Drosophila melanogaster: one gene and its partners. Changing the gene in region 1 together with any one later gene gives a genetic interaction. Each region holds a gene or a part of one and is shown in the gene's direction. Other genes may lie near its edges.

Evidence for each region.
Region 2: of Syx5 (region 1) and Nsf2, changing one enhances a phenotype caused by changing the other (phenotypic enhancement), as found in Drosophila melanogaster (one study listed by BioGRID).
Region 3: of Syx5 (region 1) and Ctr1A, changing one enhances a phenotype caused by changing the other (phenotypic enhancement), as found in Drosophila melanogaster (one study listed by BioGRID).
Region 4: of Syx5 (region 1) and ru, changing one suppresses a phenotype caused by changing the other (phenotypic suppression), as found in Drosophila melanogaster (one study listed by BioGRID).

The regions. Positions count from the first base shown.
Region 1 is NT_033779.5:16,304,170-16,310,248, forward strand, and holds Syx5 (syntaxin 5), read left to right. Parts: upstream 1-3,176; 5' UTR 3,177-3,490; coding exon 3,491-4,160; intron 4,161-4,228; coding exon 4,229-4,962; 3' UTR 4,963-5,105; downstream 5,106-6,079. Other genes in the region: c(2)M (crossover suppressor on 2 of manheim), read left to right, coding at 1-136, 191-575, 628-935, 994-1,128, 1,186-1,310; CG5861 (uncharacterized protein), read right to left, coding at 1,790-2,151, 2,346-2,454, 2,525-2,663, 2,772-2,845; cni (cornichon), read right to left, coding at 5,734-5,761, 5,831-5,974. UniProt on the Drosophila melanogaster protein: Mediates endoplasmic reticulum to Golgi transport.
Region 2 is NT_033777.3:13,831,946-13,840,568, reverse strand, and holds Nsf2 (N-ethylmaleimide-sensitive factor 2), read left to right. Parts: upstream 1-2,577; 5' UTR 2,578-2,656; coding exon 2,657-2,766; intron 2,767-2,866; coding exon 2,867-3,191; intron 3,192-3,826; coding exon 3,827-4,792; intron 4,793-5,031; coding exon 5,032-5,889; 3' UTR 5,890-7,072; downstream 7,073-8,623. Other genes in the region: CG31495 (uncharacterized protein), read left to right, coding at 770-1,795. UniProt on the Drosophila melanogaster protein: Required for vesicle-mediated transport. Catalyzes the fusion of transport vesicles within the Golgi cisternae. Is also required for transport from the endoplasmic reticulum to the Golgi stack.
Region 3 is NC_004354.4:6,658,836-6,668,467, forward strand, and holds Ctr1A (copper transporter 1A), read left to right. Parts: upstream 1-2,811; 5' UTR 2,812-2,966; intron 2,967-3,404; exon of another isoform or gene 3,405-3,506; intron 3,507-4,828; exon of another isoform or gene 4,829-4,926; intron 4,927-6,164; 5' UTR 6,165-6,209; coding exon 6,210-6,243; intron 6,244-6,326; coding exon 6,327-6,538; intron 6,539-6,603; coding exon 6,604-6,851; intron 6,852-7,404; coding exon 7,405-7,434; intron 7,435-8,014; coding exon 8,015-8,216; 3' UTR 8,217-8,793; downstream 8,794-9,632. Other genes in the region: Cdc7 kinase, read left to right, coding at 1-320; CG3224 (uncharacterized protein), read right to left, coding at 1,849-2,337.
Region 4 is NT_037436.4:1,367,915-1,374,475, forward strand, and holds the start of ru (roughoid), read left to right. Parts: upstream 1-2,713; 5' UTR 2,714-2,966; intron 2,967-6,561.

The DNA.
Region 1 (6,079 bases):
ATTACAATCACCGAAGAGATTGAACTTCCCGAAGATCATAGCTTAATTATGCCATCAAATGGTTTTGGCGAAGCCGAGGGCGCGGACTTAACCATTTTTCAAGAGCTTTACCCCAAAGATGGCACACGGAACTCACGTAAGAATTCTCAATTCAATTGAAAATGTAATAAACTATTTTTTTGTATTATAGTAAAGCGACACTCAATAGCTCAGGATCCAACTGACATCTTACCGGATAAAATGCCCAGATTGGATGATTGCGATGTTTTCCAAGCTGACAATGCTATCATGACCCAAATCTTTCCGCATAACATTGAACCAGCTGAAGTAACTCAGATAGTTTGTGAACCGTCGTTGCCATCCGTTTTAAATTCTTTTGGAGAAATAACATTTAGCCACCCGAAAAATCGGAAAAGAAAGCTAATAGTAGACAAACGAATTGAATACACCCGGGAGCAGCTGGTGAAGCATAGACAGAAATATATGGAAGAATACCTTTCAAGGAATGTGATAGTGCCAAAATCCTCGGATTTACGGAAACCCCCTAAGGAACTTCTCTGTAAACTGTATAATAAGTAGGAGCCTTATACATTTTGCTATTTAAAACTTTTTAATTTTTTGATGTAGTGTAAGTTTTTTAGCTCTTCATAACCACTCCGGACCTAAGCTCAGTAATGAAGAAAAGGAATTCGAGGCAGAAAACACATTGAGAACCATATTTGGCTGCGAGTTTACCGAGAATCTTTCTAAAGAGATATTTGTGCGACCATCGCAGGCTACAAAATGTAGGGATAAAGCGGCACATATCTATCAGCCCGAACCGCTTGAAGTGGAAGACTGTGTGCAACCTCAACTTCAGCCACGTGATGATGTAAATCAGAATTATCATAATGAAATGAATGAGCACGGCATATACCGTGAGGATAATCATGATGGTGAGTTCAGCCAATGTTTACAACATGCTATCGTAAATAAAATATAATCTCATTGCAGATACCTACAGCGTAATGATGAGTCTCTTAAGCATTTGGCGTAATAATCCGAAAATCACGGGAATCGATGCCATTGATTTTATAAAAACGTTTGATAGTCGCATCAAGGCTTCGTTAGCCTTTCTCCATTTGTTGTGTGAGTTCGAAAAAGAACAAAATGTGTGTTGGAAATAACGTATAGCTTAAATTTCAGATCTTGTTCGAGACCATTTTATAGAGATATCAAAGCGAGCTAATTCGCTGGAAATGTACCAAATTACTCTTGGCAAAGAGTCCGCTAAGCTAATAGACAATCTTATGCTGAGTGAGACTCTGTGAATATTTTTAGATAATTTTTTTCAAGATTACCAAACAACTTTGTAGTTGACAATCTTCCACATTTTTGTTGTTGTTTTGTTTTCTGTTATTGCTATTGTGTTATAACATATAAGTTGAGCCAATCTCTAACCTAGATGGCTTTAATCTACTCTTTTTCCATACAATCTTATGGTACAATTGAGCAACGATGTCCTGGATAATTCGTTTCATTTCAAGAATTGAAAAATTCTATAGATGTTACTTGTTGCTGTCTATAAAAATAGTTTTTTTTTCATTATCATATTAGTTTCGTGTACCCATTAAAAGTTGTTTGTTATCTTTGTTACTATTACGTTATCGTAGCTATAATTCATTAACATTTGGAGTAATTCTCTAAACCGTAATTGTTGTCTTTGTTACAAAATCTCAATTTCTCTGACAACACCAAAAAATAAACAAGTTACAAAAACAAAGGAATACAGAGTGTTTGGCACAATTGCTTAAATTCCGATCTGCTGGGCCAGACCCGAATAGATGTGCAGCGTGCAGAATCCAATGACGGCCGCCACCAGCGCTTTAACAGCCACCGTTAGCCAAGGTCCAATGGTCAGAATGTGGAGCATGCCCTCCAGCCAGACGCCTTTGAAGACAGTCACCGCCAGAAGTAGACTAACCAGCGGCTTTAATGCCTTGTTCAAATCGTGACGGGTGAAGAGCCAGATCAGGGTGGCCGTAGTGATGTGCTGCACCAGAAGCACGTTCGATTCCAGACACTTGAGGATGTAGATCCAACTGAACTCGGTGCCTCGGGCACCCACCCACAGCATGATACCTCGGGAAAGAATCACTTCGGCGGTGGCCCCTGCGGAAGTATACGAAAATATTTAGTTTTTACTAAATTTTTGGAAGTTGTCATACATATATGGGTTGGGGTATTAAAGGTTGAGTAGGCATTGGCTCTTGTAACATTAATATATCTGAACAGAGTACTTTTCAATCTTTAAAAGCCACCCTCATCATTAATTAAGTTTAAATAAGTTGGTTCGTTCAACCTACATCCAAGTCCAGCCGTTATGAGCTTTGAGTGGCCCTTGCCGGGTATGCGACTCAAGATTAGGGCGAATCCAAGCAGATCGGCGATGTCCATGCTGCAGCGAAGAATCTCCTGCAGACCAAAGAAACCACAACATGACCTCAATAATTGGGTGAAGGTAAACAAAGATAAGCACACGTACCGCAAAGAAGTTGAACTCGCCGCTGGAGGATGGAGCGTCCGAGTAGAAGAATGTGGCCAGCACCAGCATCTTGACGAGCTGTGTGAATATATAAATGCCTCCCGCCTGCACGCACTTCCAGAAGGCTCCATATTCTGATCTGTGATTAAATAATAAGCCGGGAAAGTTCACAAATAGTTTTTTATTGACCTGGTAGAGCTGCGGACTTGGCAGTCGGCAAATCACCAGTAACCAGAAGTAAACTCACAGGCCGGAGTATTTATAGGTGAAGTAGTACGGCGTCAGCAGGGCCACACAATTTCCAAAGTGATACAGTGTCATTTTCTTTGATAAATTATGGCTATTTTATTTTGGCTTAATTAAGAGAAGAATTAAAAGTTGAAAAGAAAAAAACTAGCGTTGCTTGCCGTGGGTTATCGATATGTGCTTAACAGGGCTGACGGCATGTCAGGCAGACTATAAAAAACAAGCTAGTTTTGCAGACAATATTTTACAATAAATATTTTAATAATAACTATTATAAATAAATATTTTGAAATATTGGAAAACGTGTGTCTTTCCGAACGAAAAGAAGTAGCAACTGTTTTAATCTGTTTCGTGCCTATCGATAGTTGCTTAAATATCAACACGTCATCGTAATCTATCATCTGGAGGTGTGTTCGTGTGTGTGAGAAGAGTGTGTGTGTGTGCGTTTGAGTGAGTTTTCTGCAACCTTTAGCAATTATTATGAATTTTTTGACAAAACCATTGGGAAATACTTGAACGGAGACCAAATTTTACTTTGTTTAGGACACACAAACCTGCCAGCTAAGTGACGAGCCAAACATCAAACGGTAAACCAGTGCATTAAAGGAGAAAAACAAAGGGGAAATTTTCGCAAAGAAAAGTCCAACAGATCATTTCGTTCGTGTGCATATGAAAAACAGCAACGTCAACTCCCTGGTAAAAGCTGCAATCTGAAATGAGATGCAAACCCGAAGACGCCTTCATCAAACAGACCAGCAGGATTACAGCAGTAGCAGTACCTATACCATTCAAGAGGATCAACAGGGAGGAGCAGGCGCAGGATCTGTGGGCACGGGAACAGCTGGCGGATCGGTAGGACTATTAGCACAGTCCCTGGTTCCACCACCAACTGGTCACGAGGCGGCCATCCACATTGGAGACAACTACCAGTCGGGCGATTCCATTTCCACTCCCGATTACTCCGACGACAAGTACGGCAAGGCGGCCCGCCAGTGGAACCTACGCGCCTTCTCGGGCCACGCACTGCGCACTTTAAGTGCCGCTGCCGCCGTGGTCACCGGCAATCAACCGGGCATCAATAACGATAGCCAAAGCAACTATAGCTACCCCGCTTCCATTCCGACTAGTTCACAGTTTTACCAATCGAAGGAGGAGCCGCAGGAAACGGAACCCGAACCAGAAATATTCGTCATGGCCGCACGCGATCGAACGGGCGAGTTCGCCAATGCGATTCGTTCCCTGCAGGCTCGAAATATCACCCGGGCAGTGAATATACGCGATCCCCGCAAAGCTAAGCAGGTTCAGAGCTACTCGGAGTTCATGATGGTCGCCAGGTTTATTGGCAAGAACATAGCCAGCACCTACGCAAAACTGGAGAAGCTCACAATGTGTAAGTACATGTTTTAGTAACCCCTTAAAGTCATATTCAAAACTTTAAAATTCCCATCTTCGTTTTAGTGGCCAAAAAGAAGAGCTTATTTGATGACAGACCGCAGGAGATTCAGGAGCTGACCTATATCATCAAAGGCGACCTAAATGCCTTAAATCAACAAATTGCCCGACTGCAGGACATCTCCAAGGATCAGCGGCGTCACACAAACGGCAAGCATTTGGTGTCACATTCCTCTAACATGGTACTGGCCCTGCAATCGAAACTGGCCAGCATGAGCACGGACTTCAAGCAAATCCTGGAGGTGCGCACGGAGAACCTCAAGCAGCAGAAGACGCGACGTGATCAGTTTAGCCAGGGACCAGGTCCGTTGGCCGCGCACACCGTCTCCCCCTCGACAGCCAAGCAGGGATCTTTGCTTCTCAGCGAGGAAAACCAAGCGGTCAGCATAGATATGGGGAGCAGCGATACCACACCACTCCTATCAACCCAGACACAGATGGCCATCTACGATGATTCCGATAATTACGTCCAGCAGCGGGCGGAGACCATGCAAAATATAGAATCTACCATCGTTGAGCTCGGCGGAATATTCCAGCAGCTGGCACATATGGTTAAGGAGCAGGAAGAGATCGTGGAGCGTATTGACACGAATGTGGCGGATGCGGAATTGAATATTGAGGCTGCCCATGGGGAGATCTTGAAATACTTTCAATCCGTCTCCAAAAATCGCTGGCTGATGATCAAAATCTTCGGCGTTCTCATATTCTTCTTCTTGTTCTTCGTTGTTTTTATGTCGTAATCAAACGCCAGTTGCCCATTAAAAGCCCCATGTACCTATCCATGTATACAGCTTTTTATTTTAATCAAGATTCAATCACAATATTGTTTATTCCAAGCTGTGGCCTCCCGAAACGATTGTAAAATAAAGTTATAAATACGTTCTAAAGCAAAATACATTTATTTTAGCATGTGGTTCTTTGGTGAATTTTTCCATTCTAATGGAAGCTCTAAAATTAAATATAATTTCCAAAATATAAAGCCGAATGATAAATATGTTTGCTGATGTAAGAAACTTGTATATTACCTTAGAAAACGTGTAATGCAAGTATCAAATTGGAGAGAGACTATATCTATGTTTGCCCTGCTGATAAGGTTTAAGTGCCCTTTCATAATCTTTATTATCTTAAGTGCTCGTTGCTCCATGTTCGTCGTGTTTAGCCAAAAATTCCGCTGTCCCTCATGCTAAACAGAAAAATGAAAATTGGTTACATTGATTTGACTTTTATTTAATGCTTAAAATCCAACTACACCAAAGATGCGATATGCAAAAAATAATCAAAATAAAAACATGTTACAATCTCTTACTGCAGAAAAGTATTACAAATTGTATGAAAAAAACAAAGCTTCAAGATGTCTTTATGGATTTACACTAGAATTTACAAGTGAAGTATTGTTCGCGGTTGATGGGGACTCTTCCCCAAAAAAGGAAGTCCTCTACCCGAGTTTAGACAACTAATACACGACGCTGATGCGTTGGCGCCAACACTGAGATCCCCAGGCAAGAGCTTGCCTATGTCGAGATGAGCGAATAAACCATGCTAAAATTAGCAATTAGAAACGTTAGACAAATGAGGACCCTGGCCACAATGAATCTCAATTAGACTTACCCGTATATGTAGTAGAAGAAGCTAATCAGATAGACGGCCAGTTTAATCCAACCCTCACGCATGTTCCGGTACAAAGTATCGGTTTTCAGGACCGTGGTGGGATCATAAAGTCCGGGTCCCGACATCACAGGGCGGTTTTTGTAACTGAAAGCGATAGGGGTATTACAAAGCATGAGTGCTTAAGGGTGCTTATGTTGGGCTTGGGTGAATCTTGATCTCCTCGGATCTCAAATCACATTATATCACACG
Region 2 (8,623 bases), on another chromosome or scaffold:
ACTGCTCGAGGTCAGCGGCAAGGAAAGAAGAAAAATACGATATTGCAAGTAATTGCACAGCCAACCCAGCAGAAGAGCCGAAAAGCGGGAATTCATAATGTGTGCCTAGGTTTTAGCAAACGGAACGAAACTCAAGAATATCATAAATCACAAAGTCGTTTAAATTGTAACGGTTGCAGTACATCGAAACCGCCAGTCAATCGGTCTATCGGTATTTTTATTAGCCATAAACAATACAAATATTAAAGTGACATATATGTACGATGAAATTTTTTCTGCATTTCATGTAGTTAAAGTCAAGGCATTAAAATACTTGATGGATAAAATAGTGTGCAATTATTTTTACTAATTTTAAGTTTAGATATTTTTCAAAAGTGGCGCGCTTTTTTTGTAATAGCCAAGTGGAAAAGCAGTATTTTCAAATGGAAATTTGGTTACACTATCGTAATACGAAGCTGATAACACATACATAACGAAGCTGATAACACATTGGTTCGGAAAATAATGGCAATTCAAAATATTAATATTATTTTAATTTTAAGCTACCTTATAAAATAATAAAAACTTACAATATAATGGTTTGAATTGAACCACCGTCTTATCGAAACTTCGACCGTCCCTGAAATTTAAAATCGATCGCAGTTATCGCAATCGATTTTAGGTGGATAACATAATATACAAAACCATTTTGTAAAGAACAGCTGATACAATTTGACCATTTCATATCCAATATAATTTCTCCATAAAAGAAGCCAACCCGGGCGCCAAGATGGTCAACATCACTTTACCCAACACTGAGGAGCGTGTGAACCTCTTAAAATCGCGCATCAACAGGCTGGGTGACATTACGGTGGCCGGCGATGTTTGCGCACGCGAAATTGCAATGAAAACCAAAAATTTCACGGAGGACGAGCTGTGCCAACTGGTCCGAGAAGCCCTCCATGAAGCCATTGTCCGCACTCACGTCACCAGATGCCCGAAGGGCCTTCAAGTCACTCAGGTCGATCTCCTGGCCGCGGTAAAGATCATTCAGCCACGATTTGGCCGGCAGGAGGAGACTCTCCAGCTGCTCATGCCATATGAATATCTAGATCGTACCGCTTTCGATCCGAATGATCTCCTGTCCACCGGACGCCCAAGATGGTCTTGCCATCTGGTCGAAGGTAAGCCCAAGTCAGGCCTAACTACGGTGGCCGCTCAAATGGCTTTGAAAACAGACTGCCCTTTTATAAAATACATCTCGTCGGCCGAATTGCTGGGACTTAGCGATTCCGAAAAATGCCAGAGAATACGGGAAGTCTTGGAGGACGCCTATGTTTCCAGGCGCAGCTGCGTCATCATTGACGACTTTGAGCGTGTCATTGGTTACGGCGCCCTGGGTAAGCGGTACTCCAAGGAGTTCCTGCAGAAGCTGACGGTTCTTCTGAAGAAACAACCGCCCAACAGCCACGAGCTCATCATCATTTGCACAAGCAATCGTCTCGATGTCCTGGAGGAACTGGGCTTGCTATCCGTTTTCACTTCAGTTCACAATGTGCCAAATGTTTCCACGCCTAAAGAACTTATGGTCATAGTGGAAGCTTCAAAACGATTCGAGCCCGAGGAGCTACGCCAAATCGAGATCGCCATGGATGGCCGCAACGTCTCCATTGGCATCAAACGGTTGCTTGACTTGATTGCGTGGGTGAATTCCCTAAATCCCGACCGTCGAGCTGCCAAATTGCTGAAGAAATTGGGCGAAGCAATGGGATGGGTAGGGAACCATTCTAGTCCACTTGTACCTCAATACATTTAAGACGTTAGGTTAGGAAATGCAATATTGTATCTACAATTCCAGGAAAATAATTCCAAGTGATTCCAAATAATTCAGTAATGCTTTATATTTAAAAGAACCACGTAAGCATAAAAAAACCATCTAAAAAAATAATATTGCATTATTTTTTGGATGAACTTGCTTCCATTGCATTGCAATGTTCTTAAGACTAAAATGAACAGCCCGATAATGTGATTGCAAAGATACTAGATTATTATATTATATATATATTATATATACACCAGGCCAGACCTCTCAGTGGCCTTCGCCTGCTGTACGGAGAGCATTCCGTCCTCCAGGAGTTCGGTGACCGGTGGGCCCAACATCTCCTGGGCTGCTCCAAAGGCGGGCTTGATGTCGTTGTCCAATATATATATATATACATAATTATATATATAATATATATTATATATTATATATATATATTATATTGTTCTAGTGTCTTTGGTGATTGGCATAACAAGTTTTATTACCATATTATATATATATAAGTAAAAATAAAGATATTTGAATTGCAAATGCCACCCATTTTATCGTTATTTACTTAGAGGATTTGGCTTTTGATACAACACATTTTTTGGATTGTTTTCTTCACCAATCCTGGTGCTGCAGAGCTGCTTAGCAACAGCGAAGAAGTCTTGAATGCGGGGGATATATGTATTATTAGAAAATGCAAATGCGCGCCAATGAATTCAAATTTGCACTGCAGGTGCCGTAGCAGGCATCTTTTGCTCGCAATCACAGTGCATACACACACGCAATGCCGAACAGGGTTGCACTCCCTCAACGGGCTATCAGCTGTTTGAGACAATTTCGGGATTATATTATAAAATTGCTACGAAAATGTCAATTGAAAAAGCCCACCGGATGAGAGCGATCAAATGCCCAACGGATGAGCTGTCCCTGACGAACAAGGCGATTGTGAATGTGTCCGATTTCACGGAGGAGGTCAAGTGAGTGTTGGTTTTTGTTGTTTTTCCACTTCCTACGTGGGCGTACGAGCCTATGGAAACTTTCGCTTATGCTAATGACGCACCGCTTGATACCCTGCAGATATGTGGACATCTCGCCGGGCCCGGGGCTGCACTACATCTTCGCGCTGGAGAAGATCAGCGGGCCGGAGCTGCCGCTCGGCCACGTCGGATTCTCGCTGGTCCAGCGCAAGTGGGCCACGCTCTCCATCAACCAGGAAATAGACGTGCGGCCGTACCGATTCGATGCCAGCGCCGATATCATCACACTGGTCTCCTTCGAGACGGACTTCCTGCAGAAGAAGACCACCACGCAGGAGCCCTACGACTCCGACGAGATGGCCAAGGAGTTCCTCATGCAGTTCGCCGGAATGCCGCTGACCGTCGGCCAAACGCTCGTCTTTCAGGTAATGGTGTGGATGTGGCTCCCCCATAAATGTATGCAGTATAGAAAAATAGATAGCAAAGGACTGAAACTAAGGTAGTAATCTGGAGAGGATTAGTGATATATGCCAGAGCCAGTTAAAATACTACCCAATTCAATGAGGGTTCTCGGTTTATCTCGGACGCACCTATTCATTATTTCACCATTTATTGTGTGCACTTATAATAATTTTGGTTTTGTATAACTTTACAAAAAGATTTATACGTTCATAGCATAGCGGTAGTGAGAATATTCGTTATTTGTGTTATTCGATATTCGTTATTTTATATTTACTGACGTGTCTTGATTGTCATGAGATGCTGAATCTCATATTCCACATTTAGACGGTGACCTAATGCAAATATTAACAAGGTAGCTTACCTCCAACAATTAGAAACCCAAAGACACGTAACTCTCCCTTAGATCATCTTTTTGGCTCTCTGCCAAATCTTTTTTAATAATTCAGCATACAATGTCCCCCTTTTTTATGAACTAAAAATAGTGTGTTAGGCTGCCCTCATAGGAAATGCAACTATCTTAACATAGTAATTCTTCTAACATGCTCCTTAATGTACATATATCGTTCGTTTGCTAATAAGGATGTTTACCGCCTTTCAGTTCAAAGACAAGAAATTCCTGGGCCTCGCTGTAAAAACGCTGGAGGCAGTGGATCCCCGAACAGTGGGCGATTCCCTACCGAAGACTCGGAACGTACGATTCGGCCGCATCCTCGGTAACACGGTGGTGCAGTTCGAGAAGGCCGAAAACTCTGTGCTAAATCTGCAGGGTCGCTCCAAGGGTAAGATCGTGCGGCAGTCCATCATAAATCCGGACTGGGACTTTGGCAAGATGGGCATTGGTGGCCTAGACAAAGAGTTCAATGCGATTTTCCGACGCGCCTTCGCCTCTCGTGTTTTTCCGCCGGAACTTGTCGAACAACTGGGCATCAAGCACGTTAAGGGTATTCTGTTGTACGGACCACCAGGCACGGGAAAAACCCTGATGGCCCGGCAAATAGGTACCATGCTGAATGCCCGCGAACCCAAGATCGTGAATGGACCGCAGATCCTGGACAAGTACGTGGGTGAATCAGAAGCCAATATCCGGCGACTGTTTGCCGAGGCCGAGGAGGAGGAAAAGCGCTTGGGACCGAACAGTGGACTGCACATCATCATCTTCGACGAGATCGACGCCATTTGCAAGGCTCGCGGATCCGTGGCCGGTAATAGTGGTGTCCACGACACGGTCGTCAATCAACTGCTAGCCAAGATCGACGGCGTGGAGCAGTTGAACAACATCCTGGTAATAGGAATGACCAACCGGCGGGACATGATCGATGAGGCCCTGCTGCGACCTGGACGCTTGGAAGTGCAAATGGAGATCAGCTTGCCCAACGAGCAGGGTCGCGTCCAGATCCTGAATATCCACACCAAGCGGATGCGTGACTTTAACAAGATAGCTAGCGATGTGGACAACAATGAGATCGCGGCCAAGACAAAGAACTTCAGTGGCGCAGAGTTGGAGGGTCTGGTTAGAGCGGCCCAATCCACGGCCATGAATCGGTTAATAAAGGCGGACTCCAAGGTATATGATGCACAGCATGGCGTGAAAGCAAAGAAAGGGGGTTCTCTTAATTCACATTCGGATCGAAATGTTATTTTATTTATTTGGCGTATTCGCTTATTTCATTTATCTCTCGGTTTGCGTTTCGGGTTTCGTTTAATTTCGAGTAATTTGGTTTCGATAAACCAAGAAAGCGATTAACGTTCGACTGTTCCACTATTCTAAAATTACCATCATCATTTGCTTTTCTACGATCCAAGGTTCACGTGGACCCGGAGGCTATGGAAAAACTGCGTGTTACGCGAGCCGACTTTCTGCACGCATTGGACAACGACATCAAGCCCGCCTTTGGAGCAGCCCAGGAGATGCTGGAAAATCTGCTGGCACGCGGAATTATAAACTGGGGCCCACCGGTCACCGAACTCCTGGAGGACGGAATGCTCTCCGTACAGCAGGCGAAGGCCACTGAGAGCTCTGGCCTGGTGTCTGTTCTCATCGAAGGAGCTCCCAACTCCGGCAAATCAGCGCTGGCCGCTAATCTGGCCCAGTTGAGTGATTTCCCATTCGTTAAGGTCTGCTCCCCGGAAGATATGGTAGGATTTACGGAGTCAGCCAAGTGCCTGCACATCCGCAAGATCTTCGACGACGCCTATCGCTCCACATTGAGCTGCATTGTGGTGGACAATGTGGAGCGATTGCTAGACTACGGTCCAATTGGACCCAGGTACTCTAATCTCACGCTGCAGGCGCTATTGGTTCTACTGAAAAAGCAACCGCCAAAGGGTAGAAAACTGCTGATCCTGTGCACTTCCAGCCGGCGGGACGTTCTCGAGGAGATGGAAATGCTCTCGGCTTTCACGTCCGTCCTGCATGTGTCCAATCTCTCAACTCCCGAGAACGTGCTTGCCGTGCTGGATGATTCTGATTTGTTTAGTCCCGAGGAGCTGCAGAGCATTGCCAGGAAAATGGCGGGTAAGCGATTGTGTATCGGCATCAAGAAGCTGCTGGCTCTCATCGATATGATCCGGCAATCGGAGCCTCACCAGCGGGTTATCAAGTTCCTCAGCAAAATGGAGGAGGAGGGCGGTCTGGAAATGGATAGGGTGCAAGGGCACTAGCTACGCCTTTAAATTAATTTACATTCCATTATCAAACAGCAGAGTGGTTCGATTTGATTGATTCAAACTGGAAAAACGGTTATGTGTTTACAATTAAAAATATATATATATGTATTAAAACAAAAAACCGTTACAAAAATACTTATAACCTTTTGGGAAAAAAGTACAACGTAATATAATATAATAATATATTCCCATATTTCAAAATATCTTACTTGCAGAGTGGGTTTCTATAAAATTCTATACTTTCGTGAAACTTTGAAATTAGTTGCCTTCAAGCCTAATACACAGAACCGGTGACCACTTTTATTGTTTATTAGGAAGTGTATAATTTTATAAACTCATATTCTGCAAATCGAAGAAATCGACCCACCCTAGTGCAATTTTATGATTGTGTTTTTTTTCCCGCTATCAAAAGGGAATCACAATGATAGGTTTCAGCTGCAATATAATATTCTAACGCTATACTTCGCTTAAGTTCCACTAAAAAAAAAAAAATATAATAAAGCGTAACTGAAGACCAACTTGTGAGATAAAGTCAAGTAATTTGTAAGTTTTGAATTTGATGATACCAACGAACTTAAAGTACTCGCATTAGCGACTAAGGATAATCCGTCGGTGTCCACCATGAAAATCTCAGTTTGAGTGCACAGACTTACATAGAGAATTTGATACCAACATGATGTATTTTATAAGGATTTTACGGATATTGCATTTACCATGATAAATAAAAAAGACAAAAATCCGATGATGCAGCCCTAATAGATTGATCTTTTAAATCAAAATTGAATTAAGATGCTTAAGCGTTATACCGATACTTAAGAACTATAATTCTGAAAGTTATTTTACAGAGCGCACAGTTTTGAATACGTGTGATTTTTATTTACATGACTTTTTACCAAAAACGAAAACAAATCATTTTTGTTATATTTTTCTTTACATCCATAAGTGAGATCACTTTGGGTTTGAAAACTAGCTAAAGAAGGTGCATGTCTTAGCTACAATTTCTGAATTTCGATCGAAGCTTTTCGAAAAACACGAAATATATGTGAATCATTTGTAAATGGATATGTCTTTTATGGATAAACTTGATGTGTACCAACGGGATAACAAACTAATTTATGTAATTTACCCAATAGCTAAAAATAAATGGAGTTTTCCCAAAGACTATGGTCTTTTTAATAAGAACGGCTGAAACGATCTTTAGTCAAAAATATATATAATGCAAATTGATTGATTGCCTTTTCTTTTCGTTCCAGGACACATTAGTTCCCTTGGTAGTTTCGGAGTGTAGCAGCTTGAATTCTTTGAAAACTCCTATTTATTTAAATATTGTTTTTTCTCGGCGATCGCCGCCCGACAGCTGTCCGCTTGGAAGGCGTCAAGTGGTTATCATACCATGTACTCACCCGATCCGATCCGATCAGTCCGATCCATCGATCAGCTGTTCGCGACAAGATCCGACGCCGGAACCCAATCAGAGCAGTGGTCAGCTTGGCCGAGGTGCTGACCACAGCCAGTCGGTCGGCGTAATATGCAATTTGAATAAATGATTTATAATGAAAACACCTTAGCGGCGCGTCGTCTGCGTATACGTAATGTGGAGCGGAGTGGAGTGCCACACTGCTCGGTAATTGATATATGGCGCTAATTGCGCTCGACGCCCATTTGTGGTCCAGTCCAGCTTTATCAGCGGCAGTCGTCTGAGGAATCCTGGGTAGCCATAGCCATAGCCAACAGTCATGGTAGCACCCAAAGCCATGGCCATGTCGCGACGGTGTCAGCTGCTAGTCAGCGCCACTTATTAACTAATTAAAGCTGCATATTTGCAAAGATCTGAAAATTGATTTGCATTGCCAATTGCCCCTGGAACTGCTCGACACAATCATGATTTTGCCCAAAGGGTAGGGGAAATTCTGGACATCGTGATCGTAAAGATTTTCACACTCCAAATATACATTGTAAATGTAAGGACTATTAGTAAGTCTACGTATAATTGAAACTATATGAAAAGCAACATGATTACTAGGGTATGCCCCTGCATAAGACTTACATTTTAGTCTAATGCCTTATTGGTCATGTGCAATACTTGTGATTTTATAACCCTTAGATGGGTTAAATTGGCATGCCCACAAGGTTTTTAAGCTTTTATAGTTTATAAATGTTCCAAAAGGTGCATTTGATTTGATTTTTTTATTTAAGACATACGATTTATACCAACAAATATTAAAGACGAGCTTTGCATCTTTATTTCTGCGGACTGTGACCGAGTAAGGATCCTGTCCGTAATTAGCACTTGGCAAGTGCGTCCGAATCGCAGGAAAAGTCACCCACCCACCCGGCAATCGATGGGTAATTATAATTCGCGGATTTGGGGCCCGGCCAGCGCGTCAGTGAGCGGTCGCTCACGTATGCAAAACGCTTGGTGACGAAAGTCCAGTCGGACAAAGATCAACGACCGGGCCAAAAAGCAAAGCTGCGCTGCCGGCAGCAGGAGCCAAAATTAAAACCGAAACGGATTTTCATTCACCGCCTGTAAAAATAACGAAACTCTTACAAATTCGTTTTTTTTTTTTGTTATTAATTATTAAAGCCAGCAGCGGCGCACTCTCTGCACTTGTGAAAAGTCAATTCTCCGGCGCACAGTGTATCATAGTGTATTATTTTGCTACATAAGTCTTTATTATTAAATCTTCTTTAGTGTTTTTGTTTTAAATGAATAATGAAACTTAAA
Region 3 (9,632 bases), on another chromosome or scaffold:
GCCTATGCGAGGATAGCGATTACTTGACAGAGCCACTGGACGCATACGAATGTTTTCCACCCAGCGCCTATGACCTACTGGATCGCCTGCTCGAGATTAATCCCCATAAACGAATTACCGCCGAAGAGGCACTAAAGCATCCATTCTTTACGGCCGCCGAGGAGGCCGAGCAGACGGAGCAGGATCAGTTGGCCAATGGAACGCCGCGCAAGATGCGTCGACAAAGATATCAAAGTCACAGAACGGTGGCCGCCTCACAGGAGCAGGTCAAGCAGCAGGTTGCCCTTGATCTGCAGCAAGCGGCCATTAACAAGCTGTGAAACTAGTCCCCACCATGCAAACATACATACACCACTTGTACATACATACATATACTATACCCAGTTCGCTGATCATGATTGTACATATATATAGACCCACCTCAAGAGCATATCTCATTATTGCACCCAGAGCCAGAAGAAACTCGTCCAATGCCCCACTAGGCCACATTTACTTACCTCAAGCCGCAGGCAGATAAAACCAAATGAAACCACGCAACAAACACACACAACACTCACAAACAAACATACAAATGTATATTTAAAGAAATGTTTCAATCATGAACAAAATGGGCAAGGAATACCAAAAAAGCAAACGAGGAGAGATTGATTATGAAATATTGTGGCCGAAAGGCTACAAAATGTTGTATATTAAGGAACACGAAGGCGACCCAAGTGCATGGCCCTCATCGCCCAGTGGCAAAGAATTTTGCACTATCCCCATCATGTATAGTTCGAATAGTCTTGTAGCTAACCTACTTAGGTATAATTATTGTATATCTGAAAACCATGTGAACGAGGATATAAGAGCGACAAATACATATATTTATACCGTGAAGATTGAATGAAGGCCTTGATTTTCTTTGCTCCAAAAATGGAAATTTGTGCAAATTATTCTTTATTTGCTTAAACAAACAAATGCTTGGGGATTTTAGTACGCATATTGTTGTTACCGTACGTTAAATTATTCATTATATTTCAGTTGCAAATATAGGACTCATAAAATTAAAGTGTAAATTTAAATGACTCACCCTTTTCAAAATAAATCCATGCAATTAAAGTTGTACATTATTTAATTTCACATTTATTGAGCACAAATCACCTAAAAAAAAATATAAAAAAAAACACAAATACTCTCACATTTTGATGAGCCATTTCACAACAAAACACTCGCGATGGCAAAATGCACAAGATCACCGCTCTAAAACGTAGCATACTCTTAAGTGCACATGAGAATGCCAGTTGAACACGCACCAACACACCCACACACGCGCCAACGGAGAATGAGCCCAAAGGAGAATGAGGAAATTGCAGAAATTTACCAATTTCACCCGTTTAAACTAGAAATACCGTATCAAACGCATTGCGTCGACCTGCGCTCACTGGTTAATTACACTTTGTAGCACTTTTCGACAGCAAACGACGCTGATATTTATTTAATTTTAATTTTAAAGCGCGTCAGCCATCGCATTTTGTGTTTACCGCTGCTCACGGACGAAGAAAGTGACCGCTTGCGGAGAGAACTTGAACTTTTGAGCTGCAGGAGAGAAATCAAAAGAACGGTAAATAAAGCTTTGCCGCTTGGAAGCGTTGAACTGCTTGTTGTTTAGAAGCTTGTTGATCTTTCGCCACCCTTGCGCGCATTAAATGAAAATTAATTTTGAATCGATTTATATATGTTGGAAAAAAAATGTATTTAAAGAAAGCAATTGGAGGTAAACAGAGTTCTGTGGGAGGGGGGTGAAGAAAGTCCTGTCCCCGAGGGCCTTAAAAACTAAGCTAGATCAATAGATTGGTTCATCCTCCTCGCCTATGTCTCCATTTTCTCGACTTTCTTGCGCTTCGTTTTGGACGTCGATGGCGAATCGGTGGCATCTGTATCCTCGGGCACCACTTCCACTCGGATCCTCTTGCCAGCGACCACGTCCTCCTTCGATGGCTGCGTTTCCATCGCCCGCTTCTTGGGCTTCACGAAGCTGCCACGTCCCGCGGCGCGTTCCGCCTCCTCGATGCTGTACGGCTCGATCTCTAGGGCCTTGAGACGCCTCTTGTGCACCTTGGTGCGGAAATGTGCCTGCATGGCGGTGTCATCGATGAAGTACTTGGCACAGTGCACGCAGTAGAACTGCGCGAATCCCGGCTTGTCGAGATCCACATTCTGATTGATCAGTTCACCGCTCCGGGTCTGCAGATCGTCGTCGATCTGGTCGAGATCACGACGTCGATTCCGCACACGCCATCTCCTCTGCAGATGGGTATCGCCATAGTGCATCTTCTTGCGTTTCGATACCATTCCCATCTTGCTGACTTTTTTTTATATTTACAACTTTTACGGAAAATTTAATCGTTTGTTTTGGCACGTGTTTTGGTTGCCAATGGGGTTTTAGATTCTGCTGCTGCTGCTAGGTGTTTCCTAAAACCTGTAATGCATTTGAATGTTAATTTATATACTGTTACAGTAATTTGTTGCTTAACTTTACCTTTTTTTGGTTAAGAAACGAGGGTTTTAAAGGTAACAAGTTAATTTAATGCGCACATAGAATGTTGGCGACGGTCCCCGGCCGATTGGTTTCTTATCGATAACTGAAGAAATCGTGGTGTGTGCACACTGATACACAGCTGTTTTTATTTATTCGAAATAAAACTAAATTCAACCAAAACTAATTAAACTAAAATTCCATAAATTAGCTACTTGTTGCGACAATAAGTTGTATAAGTTACTCATTTTTAAGCTGCACTCCATCTACTTCGTCTTTTACAATACTATTTTTTGGCATTATTTAGTGCCTTTTCGTAGGCAGCGCACTGTTAAATAAAAAAACATATGCTTGCAATTAATTCATCAACAATCGTGCGAACAAGTTGTCTGCGGGCGGACCGTGCGCATTTTGTTTTAATATTATTTATTTCCTTGCCGCAGGAAGTAAAGTAAGCCCCTAACATTTGAATACATAAACATAGAGTTCGGTTTAACTTGCGTTGATAAAGTGCAATTGATAATACAAATAGTGGGTGTGTGGGCTGGACGCACACACACATGTGTGATTGGATAACAACACTGTGAAATAGATCGGGTTTTACACTTGCAAAAACGATTAAAGCAATTATTATTTTTCATAAGATGCTGCAGCCGGTCCACTCTTGCTATCTCGCTTGCTTCAAAAGCTCAGCGTTTGCAGTGAGTGTGTGTGCGTGTGTGATTTAGCGCAAAAAGCAACAACGAAGCACAAAATAAAATCAGAAACTGTGATTGTTGTTAAATGACTGGTGCAGGGGGTTGGGTGGGTGTCAACGGCAGCTGCATGCATTGTTTAAAATGTACGACTGTTGGCTTATTGGCATTTTTCGTTGACTCTCTGTTTTTAGCTAGACATTCCGTTGAGTTCGTCACTTAAACCGGTGTTACAGCATACATACATACATACATTGTAGATTGTTACAACTCGAGCCAATTGCCCGCCAATTGCAGTAAGTACAACAACAACAAAAAGAACGCGAAATGCGTGAAATAGTATAAACGAAACTAAAAACAAAGCTTAGGAGTCCTTATCGATAATCAGCGATTGCATACCGATTGTGATTATCAGTGCCAATCGCTTATCAGTCAATTATACCGTTACAAGCACAATTAACCCTCTATCTGTGTTCGTGCGTTGAGTGATATATGTATGTTCGAATTCAGATCAACAAACTCTCTCCTACTCTCTTTTCTTTACACATGTGATATAATAGCTCCCCCGGCCTGCAATAGAAAAAAAACACACGCACTCTCGCCGTTTCTCTCCCATTTGTTGCTGCAATACATGTCGGTCACGATTTGACATTTCGCAATTGGTGCGATTGTGAGTGTGTGTGTGTGTGCAGGAGCAGAGGATGGGGCTCTCTTGGCGGAGATCAGCTGATGAGATGAAGCAACGGTTAATGCCATTTGTCCATGCAAATAAACAGAAAGAAAAAAGTTTACGTTGCTAGATCGTTTAAATTTCACTTGATATTTGGAACTAAATTAAATTTTAATTCAATTCTTATTTTAATTCTTTAATATAATATGAATAATGAATCACACTTCATCACGTCGTGAAATTCCATTTTCAAACTTATATCAAAATATCTTAGCTATTTCGCTGAGTCTTAGCATTTAGCATAATAGAAATATTACTGGTAAACGCAGATTATTCATTATTACTTGCCCAAAATAGAACTAGAAAATATACAAATCTTAAACAATATTTAGTGATAATGGTTTATTTCATGATAAGAGTAACAAATGCTTTTCTCTCTGTGTAAAGGCAAAGCTACTAATGCAGGCGAATAAAAGCGAGAGTGATAGAGGTGAATAGGTCCAACCGGTTTGGTCCCAGTGCGTTAGTTTTCTGCTGTTTAATTATCAGAGGCGCTGAAAAGGGGGTTCCCATTGCCTCCCAAAGAAAAGCGCCCAAACGATTTCCTATCAGGGATTCCATAGAAACCAAACAAACCACAGAATGTTATTTATAAACCACGCAAATTTACCCTGAACTTTAACTTTTCTGTATTTTTGCACCAGAATAATAGTTTTTATAGTTTTTCCCCACCGCCACTGTGTTCAATGATTATTTCCAAATCGAACTACAATTGCTGCATCCCAGAGTAGCAATTATGTGGCGTATGTTCTCTGCTTATGGGTTATTTTGAAAGTCGTTGGTTGCCGTACCGATCTTTGTCTTGAAAAACAAATTACTACCGTAACCGAGCTAATTTTCCTTTCATTTCGGGCCAAAACCGAAAATAGTGGCAGCCAAGCCAACCAGTTAACCAGTTGTGCCAGTCCAGTTCAGTTGGATAACTATTGAGTTCATCGCTTGAAGGCTAAAGCAATCCGTTCCTCAACAGATCGCCGCATTAAGAGGTTTTAAATGTACACTTGTTTACCTATTTTTATAGAAATTTCGCTCCTCAGAACAAAAATGCCAGCGAAGCGGGTTTTTTTTTTTTTTTTTTTTTTTGTACCACGAGTGGATTTCTAAAGCTCGTTTGTTTGTTTTAATGAGATATGGGATGAGATTGATTACAGTGAAAAGGGGGAGGAATACGTGTTTTAACTCTTCAATGGAATTGGCGAATGTGATTGCTTGCAATATTAATGCGGACTGGATTATTGTTTCGACCATTTCAACTTGACGACAGTTGTCCACATTACGGATATCGAAGGAAGTAGGCCACAATTTCAAAGGAATGGATCATTAGTTGGGATCATTTTTTAGAGGTTTTTGCCTATGTATGCCTAAACTCATATCAGTCAGCCGCACATCCTGTCATAGCAGCGAGCTTCTTGGACTGCATGCCACAAGTGGTTCGATATTCGAGCATGTTTCACTGATTACTTTGCAATGTGGTGTCGTCGCAGCACCTTATCACTAAAACTGCGATATTAACTGAATGCGGTGAACCACAGACACAGAGGCAAACAAAAAAGTGAAATAAATGAAGTATCCAGCACTGTTTAATTATGGTTCGCAGTGTTCCCATTTGCAGAAGTGGAACAGCAGTTGGTTGAGTCGTTAGCGACCCATTATAATCCAGGTTAATCCAAGGTCAGATATGGTGGTAGTTTATGGCGGGGGTGTGGGGAATCGGGTGTCGGGTCTGCCTCACGCAGTTTCCTGTGAATGGAGCACGCAGAGTTATGTGTGGCATTTTCATTTCACATTCCCCAGTTACACAGTTTTACCCAGCTACACATTTCGCATTCGTCATTGGACATTCCCTTCGAAGATGTGAAAGGGAAAGGGCGGAGGTTGGATTGTTCAGAGATTGACTTTCTAATTGAGATATATCGGTTTTTGATGCGATTTGGGGCTTGGCAATTGACCCGCAAAAAAAACACAAACTTTAGACTTACAAAAATAAAAATAATATAAAAATGGTCAATATAATATATATGTTACAGTGTTTATATTAGATAGTAATAACAGCTTAGTTGCAAGATTGTTTTGATCTTTAAACCTTTCATGGGGAATTTATATAGAGAAAGCTCTATTATCTTGGCCGCCATTGTAGCCATTGCTATCATTTATGTACATTGTTTATTATTCACTTACGAGTGGCAAAGACTTAATGCGACTTTCACTCCGTTCTTCTTTGCAGTCATTAATCGCAGATCCACAATAAGAAGTCGGTTAACCAGCTGCTATGGACCACGCCCATCACAGTGCGCCCGGTGTTGGTAGGTGTTGTGTGATTTGGCCAAAACATTGAAGATGCCTGCTTAGCATCTAGCATCTTATCTATATCATTCGCAATCCACAGATCACTCGATGCATCACGATCATGTGGGCATGCACCACGATCACAGCGGTATACCTGCTGCGACAGCGTCTCCAATGGATGCAGCTTCCATGTTCGACCTGATCCCCGATACCAGCGATTTGCAGGCAAGTCACGCGGGTCACGCCGCTCACGGAGCGCACAATCATGGCGGTGGCTCTGGCACGGGAATGGAGCACATGATGCCCATGGCGGTAAGAGAACGTAGTATTTGAAGAATTTTCATTTCTAACCAAATAATGTTCCTCAATCGTAACAGTTCCATTTTGGCTACAACGAGACGATCCTGTTCTCCTGGTGGCACATCGAAACAGTGGCCGGTTTGATCGGCTCCATGATCGCCATCTTCCTGCTGGCCCTAATGTACGAGGGACTGAAGTACTACCGCGAGTATCTATTCTGGAAGACATACAATCTGCTGGAATATCGACCTGTGACGGGGCCACAAAGAAATCCGGAGGCACCGCGCATACCATCGCCGGCAGCGGCAGCTCCATCGCCCGTTCAGTGAGTTTCGGATTTTCTGCTACCCATTGTAGAATGGAATGGATCATATTGGATCTTTGGTATCCCCTTCGCATGCCTGTTGCCCTTACCCATACTGTAGCTTTGTATCTATTGTATTTACTTAACTTGTTGTATATATTAATCTTAATGCTTTCTTCTCTCTTCTCGTTTCGTTTTCGTTATGCTGTTACCCGTTAAATCGTTCAAATCGTTACCGCTACCGCTTCACATTCTGATCAATACCATCAATATCTCTATCTGCATCATCATCAATGCGCGTCGTCGCTCTTCATTTGTAAATTGAATCATCTCGACAAAAAAAAAAAAAAAAAACTAAACGAAACCCAATTCAAAACCAAATTCATATCGATACGGTCTGCCTCGTTAATATCGTATAATTGGCCATTGTTGTGATTCACGCGACCGTAATTGAAACTAAACATATATATATTGTAACTCAATTTGATTCTGTATCTGCATCTGCATCCGCGAATCGCATCCGCAATCGTGTGGTGTCCCTACTCCCGGCACGCTTCGATCGATCCTTTCTTAGATACGTGGGCGAAGTTGTGCACAAGCAACCGTAAGTATCGCTCCATTGACCACACCATATGTATATGTACACCACTTGACCACCTGCCCAATCAATATACATACATACGTACATATGTGTTATATAGATTACCGTCTCTGTGTAATTTTGATGCCTCACTACAATTTGAATTAGTTAAATCTATTTAGCTGTTGTTGGCTATCCGATATGTCCGATATACCCAATGCGCCAGTTAATGGGAAAAAGTTAATGGAAACAACTGCGCTCGGCGGCGACGATGAATCCGTGTCGGTTTACAAATTGGCCCGTCATTTGTACAGAATATCTGGCTGGACCACAAGATATAGTATTACACACCTGTAGCTCAAGTTGGCAATTAATCTAGAGAGAATCTAACCCTAATCAATAATGGTAGTTTAATCTAACAATGGAAATTCTTAGAGCAGCTCAGCGATATATAAATATATATATATATATATAGTCTTTAGCAATACTTAGTTCTGTTTTGATTTTTGTTTACGTTCAATTATGTATATTTTCTTGTCCTGCTAATTTTGTTCGATGTTTGCTTTAATTATAACTAAATGTAAAATTCTTTCGATATGAACAGACCTTCGATGCTGTCGATTAACCACCTGCTCCAGACACTGCTGCACGTGCTCCAGGTGACGCTGTCCTTCCTGCTCATGCTGATCTTCATGACATACAACGTGTGGCTCTGCCTGATGGTTGTCCTGGGCGCCGCCGTTGGTTACTTCCTCTTCTGCTGGAAGAAATCGGTTATCGTGGACGTAACCGAGCACTGTCACTAACAGAGAACGACTCCCGGTAGCCTAAGTCGCTGTTGTCTTACCGAGATGGAAACGGAGACGGAGGCGTTGGAGGAGCAAATGTCCATCTGAATGAAAGGCAGAGGCATTGGTGCTAAGCTGGGAATCCCAGGAAGCTCTCATCCCCACAGGAAACGAACACACGCATATATACACACGATCGCACTTCAACAAACCTTGCAGCAATTGCAGCTGTTCTCTAGGTATTAGCCTATAAACTAAACTAAATCGATGCAACCGCGCTGCATCGTTTACAATCTTTAAAATATTGACATCAAGATCAAGATAGTCTATGCTATTAGTAAAGAAAAAAGTGTAATTATATAAAAGAGAACAAATTGAGCGACTGGCTAGCGAATTGTATAAAGTTAAGCAATGCAAATATTATTTTTTCCGTTGCTACTCAATTTATATATGTATGTGCGCAGGATTCCCCCAAAAAGCAAATATTTTTTTTTGATCATTACTACTGATATACACCATTTTGTAAACCAATTATACGATTATGATTATTATTATTTTGTAATAAACTTCATTGTTTTTATATAAATATATATATATATAAGATATATATTTCACTTTTGGTTTGTTAGTCCCACAAAAAGACAACACTGTTAAATTTGGCTTCCTTGTGAAATGTTGACTTGGCCGCGAATGTTTTAAGGCTTGATTGAGTGTATGCTTCAACAGTGCGTTTCATGAGTGTAATTGGTGTATGCAAAGGTTAGCATCGATTTATGCTCTGCATTTACGTGTTGTTCAGGTTCAACTGATATTACCTTAGGCTCGAAAACAGTTACTGTATTATTCAATTAATTTTAACTGCTAATTGTAAATTGTTGTCTGTTTGTTTTTTTTTGCAAGTTGACTCCGTAAAAACAGTCGTACGATTTTTGCTCAATCCGAAAATGGCTGTTGTGAAATTGCTTTCCTAAACGAATGGCCGGCCATCCCAAGTGCATATATATTTACATACTATGTACTGCCTTAATGTCCCGAAACGCACTGTAAGCAGCATATGTTCACCTGATCCATTGAAGTGCGTAAATAGATGTTGTAGATATTAAACTTAATGCAAATACATACAGTAAAGCGACAAGAAATTTATAAATACTATTAATATTAAATATATATTAAATCTACATATACATACATTAATGAATAAACAAACACAATATTGTTACAACTGAAACGAAAACGTCTTTGAAATGGAAAGTTATGGAAAACGAAGAGTTTTTTCTTTTTATTTTAGCACGCAAAGATTAACAACAGAAAATTTTGTTTTTCATTTTTCGAATCGTTTTTGATCGATTACCTATTTTATTTTCATTGTCACGATCGTCCATGCTGAAAATCTGAAAAGTCTAGTAACAAACGCGCATGATTTTACATTACCGC
Region 4 (6,561 bases), on another chromosome or scaffold:
TCCCTGTCGCTCCGCCACCTGCCCTCTCTTTTCAGCCGTCTGCAACGGAAGCAGACGCTGGGTAAAGGGAGTTAGGGGGTTCGGAGGGACGGTGCATGTCATAATAATTATTTTATGTTAAAAGAAGCGGAGGCAGTGCGAAAAAAAAGACGAAATTTGAGCAGCGGCATGTGGCAGAGGCAGGTGAGGCCGAAAAACTAGTTGGCCGAAATCCTTGATTTCCTCGCTCTCTTCCTGTCAAAGGATATCTTGGCAGCTAGCCATCTCTTTCCTTGGCACGAGCAGCAAACAAAATAAACAACAACGCGCACGAGAAGAAGTTGAAGGCGAAGCGACAGTGGCATTCGCAGGATATTTTGAGGGGGGTTGCAATCAATATCCTTTAAACACATTAGGCATATTTTTAATAAATTAAGTATTCCCCTCTTCAACCCCCCTCCATTTCAATGATTTCAGGTGTTTGCTTTTGCCCCAAAACCCCCGAAATTTCATCGCCTACGTCACTGCATGTCACTGTTATTTTTGATGTTTTTGTTGTTCGAACATCTGTTCGATTCGCCCCGTCCCTTTCGCTCCCCCTCCATCCCTCCACCCAACCGTAATCACATTTTATTGGATTTTATTTTGCGTGCGTTAAATCGCCTAATCGTCTTTGTTTTTTTTTCCTGTACTTTTCGGCTTATCTGTGTTTTGCATAAATCGCTTTTTGCCTTTGCTTTTCGCTGGCTGTTTGAATTTGTTTGATTTTTGTTGTAGCCTCTTTTGTTATTTTTGTGATTTTTTATTTTTGCTTTGCGCAATATTTTCACCTTGTTTTTTGTGTGTATTATTTTTGGCTTTTATGATTTTTTCTTTGTTTTCGTTTCATTTTCTTCATTTTTTTTTGTGCAATTAAACACGTTGAAGAAAATATAAAAAAATAAATGGGCAAGAGTGAAAATGAGCGAGGAAAAAAATATACAAAACACGAAAAAAATGACAGCTTAAAAAATTGTCTTTTTAGCCCATGCAATTTTTATGGGCAAATGTTTATCCTGTGTTTTCTATTTTACGACTGCGCGTAATGGAATTGAATTGAAAGTGTTTTCTTTGGTCGCGCTGGAAAAACATTTGCGGCACAAGATATTAATTATAAGCTTTTTAGTCGTTGCTAGTATTTAGTGCTAACTTTTAAACCAAAGCATTTGGTGCCTTTTTAATTTATTATCGAGCTACCTTCTTCATATTAACTATCTAGTAATGTGGAAGAAACTTTAATCTTAGTTTTAGTTATTTTATAGTAACTAGCTTGCATTTAATTCAAATTGCAAACAGCACCCCTATATTATATTAACAGTTATCCTCTTGGCACCCTTAATTTCATAAAAAAAGGGGGTCCATAGACCCTATTCAACTGCCACCTTATTCATCTTGAAGTCAATTCAAATCCAATCTGCGCGATTCGAGGTGGTATTCGCAGGGCGAGCGAGCGAGATAGCTGCTGTGTGGGAGTGAGAGGGGGCTAGGGCGGTACAAAGGGTCGGGCAGCGCCCTCATCAGCTGTCAGCGGCAGCAGAATGAGGCCCATTTGATGAAGATGTTTCTGCAATTGTTAAGTGTATCTGGGCCCTTTCGATGTTTGCTGTTTGCTATTTGCTATTTGAGCTGGGAAATGGAAGGAGGCCACAACACATCAAAATTATACTCGATATGTTAACAAGTTCAGATACAAAAGAGATGACTGGTCCCAAGAGATGCCAGAGATAGCCCACATAAATAAGTATCTCGTGGCTGGTGGTAGCTCGTATCTCGTGTCTTGTATCTTGTATCTCGTGTCTTGTATCTGATGGATGCACCTATTGACACCCAATAAACAAGGCGAAAACAGCAGCTGCGACCGAAGTGCTTTGATTTATTTATCAGGGGCAAGAAATCAACGTTGGGTGTTTTTTTTATCAAATCTATCTAATTATACATAAACTTTTACTTTTTTACAGTACCAAGATCAGTTTGCAAACGAAAAAACATTGGCCAGATATAATTTGAGGCATAAGCCTCGCTTTTTTTGTTTCCCCCAATTGTTTCACATTTGGTAATGCAATAATTGAGTTAATTAGCCAAAAAGGGAAAACACTGTTTCACAAATGGATTAAGGGGACAAAGATGCTAACTTAATAAGTGACTTGTTAATTATCCGTCGGCGGCTGCATCTGCAACTGTCTCCCTCTCGCTCTCCGTCTCTCCACTTTCTCTGTCGCACCTGCAGCTGCCGGTAAAAGCCAGCTGGCTCCTGGCTATCCCTCTCCCTTTCACTCGTTCGCCCCATCTCACTTCCTCACGTGACTCCTTTGCGTGTACCGTTCACCGGATGGTGGCCAAAAAAAGCAAAAAGCCACGACAAAGGAAAACTTGGCAACGCGTTCGAACCTCGAACATGTTTGCTGCACCTGGCTTTATTGTTCAAAAGGGTGGCTTAAAAGGGGGAGGCGGTTTGCAGGGGGGGGGGGGGGTTTCTTACCTTGGCCAGCAAGAGCCGGCTTTTCGAAAGGGGTGCAAAATGGAAAAAAAGCACACACACACAAACACACGCACAACTAACACAGCGGACTGTGCACATGTAAACCCTCCGGTAAGGAGGCTCTACCCCTTTCGGTTTTTGGCCAGGCCGGCACTTTGCGAATCTATAAAAGTATCGGGCCGCATAAAAAACGAGCTCAGTTGTGAACGGTACTTTGTAACGGCAACCGGCGGCAGCACGCGCAACTAACGGTTCACTGGAAAAGTAGAGAAAAACCACCGAGGAAAAACTTAGTGGAAAAGCACCGAACATTCGTACCGTTCGTAGCATTTACTGCTCGGATCGACTGCCGCAGTAACTTGTCGCTCATCCTCGAAAGAAATAAAAAATAGAAGCTGCAACCAGTTCACATAATCCTGCCCCCCCCGGATGGCCTGCACAAGAGTCAACCATTTCATCACCCCCCTCGGTAAGTCATAACACCCCCCGCCTAGGATTCCCACTCTCAATCCCCCATCTATTCCATATCTCACCCACGGAGATCCCGGCAAAACCCCCCAAAAAAATAAATCCATCGGCTTAAAACTTGGCAAAACTCAGCTCCAAACTCAACCATGCTGAGCTGAACGTATTTGACTAGAGCGAGCACTGCAAAAAATAAAGGTGTACTTCATGGTGCGAAAAATTATCGCACTGAATATATAATATTCTCTTTTACTGCCGTTAATATCCATCCTCTATTTATAACAGAAACCAATCTTATTAGTTAGCCATCGCAGTTTTTGTTTTCAGTGCATGTAAATCTGCATCTGTCAGTGCGGCAGCAGCTTCAGCATCAGTATCTCTGTCTGCTTTGTATCTTTTGGGTTGTAAAAACATCTGTGCTTGTCGTTCGGCATCCGTATTTGCTGCCGTTTGCAACGGGCCAACTGCAATGCTACCAACCACTCCCACCCACCCAGCCAGCCACCAGTCGCACATTGCGTATACGCAACGTGGAGCGCGGATTTAACTAAAAACCGTTTGCGCCCGAGCTGTCAGCAAATGGCAAGCACTTTCCGTTGAAATCTCCCCCGGGTCACCCGGTTTTTATATATATATGTATGTGTGGGCTGCCCTGCTCCATTTTCGATATCTTTTGTGGGATCTCGGACAAGTGCTACTTCTGGCCAACTTCTGGCCAGAACTTCTTGGCCAGCTAGCTACTGGTTGGTTGGCTATTCGATTTCCATTGTCTCTTTTCGAATGGAAACCCATGTGCGTGTAGGCAGGAGTGGCCAACGATCGATGGAGAGGGTCTGTCTGTGCGTGTGGGCGGTCCTCGGAGCTCCCAGTTTGGCCATCCATCTTGCCACCAAACCCACCAAGTTCGTGTGTCTCCAGGGCGAGAAGACGCCACATTTGGCTCACTTTTGTTTACACTTTGATTTATTTACGCAGCCTCGAAAAGTATTTCATTCAATCGCAACGATGCGAATTTTATTCACTTTCCGAAATTTTTCTATTCTCGTGAAACTTTTGCTAAACATAAAAGTGCCAAAGTCTCGAAATCGAAATGGAAATCAAAACCAAGATCCGTTTCAGATGCACAAATCATGGACAAAATGACAGGGGAGTTGGGGCTGCCTTGGGCTTTTGTCACTGGTGAAGTTTTTGTCGAGTGCATGAAAATACGAAAAAATTAATGCGTTGGCTATTCTTGAAAAAATCATACGCAATGCATTTTAATTTTTCGTGTCTCTTGTTCGTTTTTTGTTTGTAAATATATAGTTTTTAAATGTGTCAAGTTTGCTTTTATACGCGTCAGAGTGAGAGAGGCAACGCCGAAAATAAAAACAATATAGCGAAACAAACAAAAAAAAAAAATGAAAAAAAGTCGAAAAAAGACCCAAAGACCTGATTTCAGGGTGGCTTAGTTTTGTTTACCCATTTTCGGGCCACTTTTCTTTTACTAACGTGTGCAGAAGTGAAAAAGTTTTAAAGATATATGGTAAAAAAAAGTTTCCCAAGTCATATTTGTATCAAAGGAAAGCTGTGAATTAAAATTACTATCCAAGTTGTAAGACTTTAATTACCATTTGCTTCCGTTTGCTGAACTAAATTTGGCCAAAACTTCTGACTGCTATTAAATTCAGCAACTGATTTGTGTCGTTCTCCCCCATTTTCCAGCGCAGAAGTCAACAGTTTATAGTGTTTAATCATTCTTAAGCTGTCTCCACCTCCGCACCACCCCTTCACCCCTTCACCCCTTCACCGCTCTTCCCTTTTGGATCACCTTTGACCTTCATTAGTGTCAGACCCTCTCGCATTCGCATTAATCTAGGCAGACATTTCAAGTTGAGCTGTTGCAAGACAATGGCTCAAGCAGTTTTGTAGTTTGTCTTGTCGGCCAAGGTGCACACGCACACACTCCAGATACAGATACAGATACATTGATGGTATCTTTGAGATACTCACTCGCACAAACGCATACAAAATAGAGCTCATAAATCAGTGCAGAAGCGAAATAGTGTGTAAAAAATTGTTGTGCAACTAGGCTTTTCTGAACCAAAAATGTTAACAAATATTTTCAACTTTTAAGCTAATCAATTTAACTTTCAAATAACAAGTATATATGCTGCTAGTTAGTGCTTCAGAAATTGAATAAATTCCGTAAGAAATTGCCGGATTATGCAACCATTCGAAGTTGCACCCCCGCCAGCCCCCACTGCCCACCGACCAGCCACGCCCCCGCCACGCTGAGGCGCCCCAAAGTCTCAAAGCGACACAAACAAAGAACTCGAGTGGCGTGTGTGTGTGTGTGTGTTGCACAAAACCGACGCGAAACGAAAAGTCCGAAAAAACAACACACAGTCGGCTGAAGGAAAAACCTTCGCGGCGGAAAAACAAAAAATAAGCAGAGCAGCGATGTGAAAAGTTGAATGCCTAACAACTTGAAACACGCTAAAAATGCGAAAAAAGAGATCCACACACAAAAAAAAAACAATAAATAAAGAAAAACAAAAGTCCAAAGATGGAGCACACAATAACTATAACAACAAGAACAATGAGTCGGAAAATGTGGAAATGTCTTGGGAATCTTGCAAAATGGATGAAGCTGCTGACGTTGTTGCTGCAGTTTGCTGAATTAGATAAAAGTTTAGGAAATGTTTATGCTCGAACTAAGGCGCAGATGAATAGCGCAGGAACTCCTTTTACCAAATACCCTCGATGGAGCAGCCAAGGGTGCAAAAGTCTATTGGGATTCACATGCATCTGGTGTGGGTTTCTACACAAACTTGACCAGTCGGATTGCTCGGAAAATGGTGCAAGTGAAGCTACGTAATTATTCAATGGGAAAACTCAAACTTTTGGTCATTAAAATGATATTTGGTTTGTTTATACTGCGACTAGATGTTGTTATTCATATCTTAGTACATATATTGCTTGCAGTATCAATTCCAGGGTACTTCACTTGCAGTGCCAACCATTTTCCCTCAGATTTATTTTTATATTTTTAAACTCAGGTAGGATAAGGCAACCTGGCAAATGGCAGGCGGAAATGCACCGAAAATAAATGTGGGTAAAAATGCCAAGGAGAAGTGGAAAACGGTGTTTGCTTCGCCCGGACGGGAACTTTAGTTGCCATTGCAACTGCAGTTAGTGGAATGTTGTCTACACGTAAATATTTCACACCAAACTCAGAAGGGGGGTTCTTCTTGGAGTTGGAAGAACAGGGACGTATCTGTGAAGGGTGGTGGGGGGAGGGTGGTATTTCGGCCGGAAAAGTGCCTAACCAGCGCAATGTGCAAATACAAATGCAATTGCAACAGCGGAATATGAATCACAAGCTAAAAAGTGCAGCCACCAAGGGAACTCCGCATACTCATCGCTTATCGGCGATTTGCGTTTTTCCCCCCTTTCACCTGTCTTCACCACCACTCTCACCAACGCTTTTCATTCATCAATGTGCTTCGAAAGAGGTGAAAATGAAACAAAAGAAAGAGAGAGCTGAAAAAAACAACGAAAGAAGAGCAACCGAAGAAGATAAGACAGCAAAGATTCGCGGATTGGCGATAAACAAA